2 linked regions of the Daphnia pulex genome follow. The protein of the gene in region 1 interacts with the protein of each later gene in a pairwise test. Links are inferred from orthologs where the notes say so. Each region holds a gene or a part of one and is shown in the gene's direction. Other genes may lie near its edges. The genes, in order: developmentally-regulated GTP-binding protein 2-like and RWD domain-containing protein 1-like.

Region 1 (3,758 bases):
CGGGGTATAGTAGGCGAGTTCTAAAAAGCTTTATGCGACAGTTTCGTGAGCTGGATTATACGTTACTGCTAAATGGTCTAGCGCCAATTATACTCCTACACAGAAAATAATACCGCAGCAATCAGCTCACTTTTATATTGCTTCGAAGAATAAGTCCAACCGAGTGCTCTTTGTCACGAAATGCAAACAAATTCAAATGGTGGCCTACGCGTATTTATTTAGGATAATGAAGTGTGAAAAATTGGGTATCGTCTTGTGCAATTCTGGCTAAAGGGATGACGTCATAAATATCGACGGTAGGACGTTTTTAAAATAAAAGCAACGTTGTCATTAAATATTTTTTTCAAGAGGATCCACTTGTTAACGTCGGATCTGAGGATGTTTTCCAGCTGTATTCGATACCCTTCCGTCAAACTGACAACAACAAGACCAGCCATGCCTAAAGAGTGTGTTCGTTGTCAAAGTAAGTTACATTTAATTGCTATTTAGTGCCTCGATTTTGAATTTCATATTTATTTGTGCACCATCTGTTTCTCGAATGTCTTGAATCAGTGAATGACGTGTTAGATTTTTACCTTACAAACTGTTCGTACTTTCTGTCTAGATGGGTGCACATGCGGGGACGACTGCAAGTATGCAGCCAACTGTATCAAATGTCCCACAGCTTCGTCACAAGGAGAGACTTGCAAATGCTCGACTCCAGGTAATGTTCGTATTGAAAGCTTTAATCGCCGACAAAAAAATTAATAGCTTTTTCACAATTGGTTGTATAGGGGGTTGCACATGCGGTACCAATTGCCAGTGTGGAGCGAGTTGCGTTTGCAAAGCTTCGTCCTGCTGTAAATGAATATCGTTGACGTGACGTCTGAAGAATTAATCCAACATATTCTGAAATCATTTCTGGAAACTTTCATTACTATTTCCCTTTATCGTCTAGATTATATATCCAAATTCACAAAACGATATTAAAATACATTTCGTCGATCTATAATTCTTCGTAAGAAGTATTTGCTTTTTTTGTTATTACCTGATTTCCATACCCCCCTTTCGGTTGGCCATTTTCAGGCTGTTACTACACAGTGGAATAGGCAAGTTATAAAAGCTTTATGTGGTAGTATCATGGGATTGCACTAAGTGATCGAGCGACAGTACTTTTGCAACAGGAAAACCTAGCAAATGATAACGCATCAATCGAGAGTATCAGGCGCTGGTCTAGTGGTCTGGTATCTGTATAATTACCGAGGATAATAATAGCAGTTGAGAGCTCAAATGTAAAAAAAGTTCAGTGGGTTGTTAACGCGTATTTATTCAAGGATATAACGAGACATTTTTTTTTAAAATTATCATTTGTATTGTTTGTATTTGATTTTTGTTTACCGCCATTGCGTATCTTCCGAATGGCAACGTTGCTTTTGACTGCCATGCTGAAGGCCTAAAGTTGGTCTGCTGTCACTTTGATAATTCCAGTTTTTGTGTTTTGTTTTCGACGACCATTTCCCCTGAACGAAAATGGGAATTCTGGAAAAGATTTCCGAGATTGAAAAGGAGATTGCCCGTACTCAGAAAAACAAAGGTTTGCGTCCATTATTGCTTCTTTCTTATGCGGATGTAATGTATAACAATACTTTTTGTGCACCGTGCAGCTACCGAATATCACTTGGGGCTGCTGAAAGCGAAACTTGCAAAGTACCGTTCGCAACTATTGGAACCCTCCAAGAAAGCTGGAGAGAAAGGAGAAGGCTTTGATGTACTTAAATCCGGAGATGCCAGGGTGGCATTAATTGGATTCCCATCTGTCGGCAAGGTGTGTTAAGGTTTAAAATTGTTTAAAATTTTATTTAACACAATCCCTTTCTTTCCTAGTCCACCCTTCTTTCAACTCTAACCAAGACCCAAAGTGAAGCTGCATCATATGAGTTTACAACACTGACATGTATTCCTGGAGTCATCGAGTATAAAGGTGCCAATATCCAATTATTGGATCTCCCTGGAATCATTGAAGGGGCTTCCCAAGGAAAAGGCAGAGGAAAACAGGCATGTCATGAGTTTCTGGAATGCAAAATTATAATCTTTGAATGAGTTTTCTTTATTGTGGTTTAGGTTATTGCTGTTGCAAGGACAGCTGACTTGGTTTTGATGATGCTTGATGCTACCAAGGGAGATGTACAGAAAACCTTGTTGCAGAAAGAGTTGGAGAGCGTAGGAATCAGGTTGAACACCAAAAAACCAAACATTTACTTCAAGGTAAACTTGACAAATACATAGAGCAAATGATTTTTTCTTTACTGAAAAATACCTTACATTGATAGCACAAAAAAGGTGGTGGTATTGCCTTCAATGCTGTTTGTCCATTAACCAAAGTGGATGAGAAACTGGTTCAGCTAATTCTTCATGAATACAAAATTTTCAATGCTGAGGTACTAGTTCACATTTCCTAAATCGGAAAACCTGACGTTGTAACGTGTTTGTCTTTTCGTAGGTTTTGTTCCGCGAAGACTGCTCTGCCGACGATCTGATTGATGTCATATCTGATAACCGGATCTATTTGTCGTGCCTTTACGTTTACAACAAGATCGATCAAATTTCGCTGGAAGAAGTTAATAGGATTGCACGACAGCCTCATTCTCTAGTGGTTTCCTGTAACATGAAGCTGAACCTCGATTACTTACTGGAGACTCTCTGGGAGTACTTGTCCTTTATTCGAGTTTACACCAAGAAACCTGGTCAGCCCCCCGATTTCAACGACTGCTTGATTTTGCGACGAGGCGTTTCTGTCGAACATGTTTGTCACTCGATCCATCGCACGTTGGCCCAAGTCTTGAAATACGCGCTTGTTTGGGTAAATTAATTCACTTTACCTTATGAATGATGCAAATTAATGATCTTGTTCCTTTTATAGGGTACGAGCGCTAAATTTAATCCGCAACGAGTTGGTTCACATCATATAGTGCATGATGAAGATGTACGTTCAACACCATTAGAAAGTTGTTGTATTTTTAGCTAATTGGTTTTCTTTTCTCCTTCTAGGTAATTCAAATTGTGAAGAAATGAAAATTCTTCTTGAGCTTTCTGAAGAGGTTCAAATGCCGAAGAACGAATAGGGGAAAAGCTTTTTGTTATGGTTGGCTTGAGAATTCAAATAAAACACATAAACACCTCTCACATATTAGATCCGACTAATCCGTCGAAATTACCGCCAGAAGGAGTTTTGTGTGAATTCTTGATGAGCTTTAAACATGACTTTGAAATTAGCTTAAGTAGTGCCGGCGAACGGGCAACGTTGGAATATTTCGATTAAAATCATTGGGGGAAAAAATATTGCAAGAAAATAATGCAAACAAATTATTTGCCTTTTGATGAAAAATGGACAGTCATTCCCAGGGTCACACAGAAAGAAAGGTTTTTTAGTCCAAACCCAAGAAATTTGGCCTTGCTGTCCTTGGGTAATTTGACATGGCCTTCGTCTGCTACGATTACTGTTAGGAAGGAGGTAGGACGTCAAAGTTGTAGCTGCACTTCGACTCCTTTCTTTGATCCTTTTGTGATCTAGCTAGGCCAGTTAAAACAATAAGGGAAATCGAAAATATTTTAACCCTCCTTCTCAGTTCCAAGTGCTCTTTTTTTAAGCAGAGAAGCCATTTGAATGTGATGCTTCTTTGTGTTAACTTCTAGACTAGCTCCAATGTTCCCATTGTCTCAGAACCCATCTAATTCCAGTTCCAGTCGTGGAAATGGCCGAAGTTCGTCATCTTCTCATA
Region 2 (3,181 bases), on another chromosome or scaffold:
GTGCAGAAAGTGAGGGCTAATATGAACCTCACTGCAAATGCTACTACTAATGGAAGCAAACGTCAGAAAGATAATAATACAAACTTCAAGTTTAGCAATGACCAATGTAAGATTTTTTAAATATTTGATTTGGTTCTTGTTGTCCAGTAATACAACTTTATTTTACCAACATGTACTTAATCATATCAAACCTTTTCAATCTATTTCAACAGATGCAGATCCATCACCGTCAAAGTACTGTGACAAGATGATGAATTCCATTTGGGGACTTTACAATCGCTATTCTGTTCACAATTTTAAAAGCAACACTTCGTCAGGTCAAGCTCAAACTGCAACATTGCAACAGCCGGCTACTAAAGAAAGCCAGGACTGGTTGCAAAATCCCATCAAGTGCCCACTGGAGGGAATGAAATTAAACTTTAATTCAAAGAATTTCCACCAGTAAATGCATTGATGGGCTGAACCAGAGAAAATGAAACATCATTTTTTCTGGTCTACACTATGTTACCTTTTCAATTAATCTCTTTCAATCCCAGTTCATAATAGGGTGGTAGAGTGGGTTTATAACATTCCCAGATGTGAAGCAATGGGCTCATAATTTGGTGTCAATCAATTGTGTTAAAATGTATCATCAGAGTTATCAATACAATTTATTCTACATCTTCATTGTTTATTTTAAATTCTTCGTGATTTATAAAGAAAAGAAAAACTTACACCAACTCCATGCAATATTTGACTAGGTACTATTAGTTGCATTTTCAGTTTCCTTGTGACGATGTTTCTTGGGAATTCCTGTTAGTCTGAATTCTCTCCTTTCTTTAAGGTAAATTTCCTTGCATTCTTCTTTGAAGACTTCATCTTTATACCATCTCGTCTGACAGTCTTGCATGGCTGCATTTTGTTTCCGGCATGAATATGCCATCAGCACATTGCTGGATGAACAACATTTTGTAAATTCTTCAACTTCAGGCACACATTTTTCCATTTTGGCTCTGTCTCTCATAATCTTTGGAATAAGAACTTCTTTTTCGACAATCCTCAAAGTCCTGTCATCTGGATCGCCTGTAGGTATTACCAAGTGAATATACATTAACGGAGCCGGTTAAACATGGAATGATATAATTATATAATACCGAGCCCATGAGGGCCTTTTGCGTTGTGCGTTTCCTCCTGTTTCGACATAATCGCATTTAATTCAAAGTCGATGACCTATATGTCAATGATATCACAACCCGATAACACCGTTTAGTGGAAGACTGGAAGAGAAGTTAACTTCGAAAACATAACATAAGAGAAATAAAAAAAGAAGTCAAGGCCTGCTGGCTTCACCACCAATTATGAGTTGTGTATGTGTAGTACCTTGGTTCTAGATGTAGATGGAGCCATGTTACTTGTTAGTCACAATCTTGTTTCAGCAAACTTCCTAAATAATCGATTTATTTATTTTTTTTAAATTTTTAATGAGAAAAACTGATGAAAAACTCGATGACTTTTAACCCAGACATGACGATTTTTTTTCATTTCGTAAAGAAGTTTTCTTTTCTTGCTGTCTCTTCAATATCTCATAGATGTCGATAGTTACTGGGCAAGCCGAATATTGGAAATGTGTCGTCTGCTCTCTCACATGTTGACATGTGAGAATTTAACAGTACGTCATTAACTGTTTTCTCCTATTTAATAATGTCACAAAATTCACAATACAAAGAGGAACAATTGGGCGAGATATTCTCTCTCGAATCAATTTATCCCGATGAACTGGAAAGTAAGTACTGTAATTTAAATACAAGAAAGCATTGTGCCAACAAATTAATTTCTCTACTTTTTCAGTTCTGGAAGAGGAGCCATTCCATCAATTTAAACTGCAAGTGAAATCCGAAGGACACGATGAAGAAGAAGGGATCGGTTATGCATGTGACCTTAAATTTACCTACACACCAACTTACCCAGAAGAAATTCCAATGATTGAAATCATGGATGATGTAGGTTTGGATGATGAGCAGTTGGAAAGACTGAAAGACCGTCTTGAAAAAGAAGCTGAAGATAATCTAGGAATGGTGATGTAAGAATTTAACAGTTAAAGTTTTCCATCAAGTTATCACTTATTTTATTAATGATTTGTAAAATCTAGGATATTCTCTTTAGTCTCCACTGCCAATGAGTGGCTTAATAATGAATGGGATGCTGAGCTTAGGCGTCGGGATGAGGAAGCAGAACGTAAAATACTTGAAGCTGAAGAAGCAGAGAATAAAAAGTGTCATGGTACTGCTGTTACTGTGGAGAATTTTCTACGGTGGAAGGCTGAGTTTGATGCTGAGATTGCTGCACTGAAGAAACCAGAGAAGGAAGACAAGGATAAGAAGCTCTCTGGTAGAGAGTTGTTCATGGTTGACAAATCACTGATTGAATCTGATTTGAAATTCTTGGAAGAGGGTGGAGAAGTTGTCAATGTTGATGAATCCTTGTTCCAGGATTTGGAAGATTTAGGTTTAGATGATGAACTTGTGTCAGATGGAAGTGATTAAAATAAAATACTGGCTATTATTTATCTTTATTTGTCTGTTCTGTTCTACATTCTTAAACCAAATTTCAACTTAGACAACATAAGGTCAAAGACAAAGCGAGTATTTACTTGGGACGCGTAAATACGTTTGGACCGAATTTTAACGACCCTGAAATTTCACCTAGGCAGTCATTTAGAGAAAGTAGACCAACACAGAAATCACATAAGACCTCACCTTAACCAATCTTCACGTTGATACTCGAATCATGAAAAAAATGTGACTTACTACGTAATTAAATGTAAGTGATCGATTAAACAAAAGGCAATGTCAGTCCTTCACAATAAGACTACGAACAAAGCATTATAATAGCATGCTTGATTCATTTAATCAACATTCAATAAATAACCAGCAATGTAATTTCAAAGAAAAACAGAACAAAATTTTAATTGGGCAATTCTGTGTATTGTACTGATCGACACAAAACCACCTCTGGAGGGTCGATGGTACTGACCGTACCAGAATCTGTTGTTAACGGTTAGATTTGGCAACTCGCTCCAACTCGTCCTTTTTCTTGATAGCGTAGGAATTGCTTGATCCCTATAGTTGGATAATACGTTAAACAATGCAAGAAATACGGCATTTTTCTGTAACTGACCTTGGCCGCGTTGATAAGCTCATCA

Evidence for each region.
Region 2: the proteins of developmentally-regulated GTP-binding protein 2-like (region 1) and RWD domain-containing protein 1-like interact in binary tests that used the Homo sapiens proteins (3 or more experiments, as listed by UniProt). The link is inferred for Daphnia pulex from reciprocal best matches to the Homo sapiens genes DRG2 and RWDD1.

What each region holds. Positions count from the first base shown.
Region 1 is NC_060026.1:4,078,079-4,081,836, forward strand, and holds developmentally-regulated GTP-binding protein 2-like, read left to right. Parts: upstream 1-1,407; 5' UTR 1,408-1,509; coding exon 1,510-1,573; intron 1,574-1,643; coding exon 1,644-1,804; intron 1,805-1,863; coding exon 1,864-2,034; intron 2,035-2,100; coding exon 2,101-2,244; intron 2,245-2,309; coding exon 2,310-2,417; intron 2,418-2,479; coding exon 2,480-2,839; intron 2,840-2,899; coding exon 2,900-2,962; intron 2,963-3,027; coding exon 3,028-3,051; 3' UTR 3,052-3,162; downstream 3,163-3,758. Other genes in the region: copper-metallothionein-like, read left to right, coding at 379-463, 605-703, 774-847. UniProt on the Homo sapiens protein: Catalyzes the conversion of GTP to GDP through hydrolysis of the gamma-phosphate bond in GTP. When hydroxylated at C-3 of 'Lys-21' by JMJD7, may bind to RNA and play a role in translation.
Region 2 is NC_060022.1:4,905,795-4,908,975, reverse strand, and holds RWD domain-containing protein 1-like, read left to right. Parts: upstream 1-1,602; 5' UTR 1,603-1,680; coding exon 1,681-1,762; intron 1,763-1,827; coding exon 1,828-2,059; intron 2,060-2,128; coding exon 2,129-2,522; 3' UTR 2,523-2,541; downstream 2,542-3,181. Other genes in the region: uncharacterized protein LOC124196018, read left to right, coding at 1-106, 213-445; COX assembly mitochondrial protein homolog, read right to left, coding at 737-1,062, 1,134-1,182; 40S ribosomal protein S5, read right to left, coding at 3,030-3,098, 3,157-3,181. UniProt on the Homo sapiens protein: Protects DRG2 from proteolytic degradation.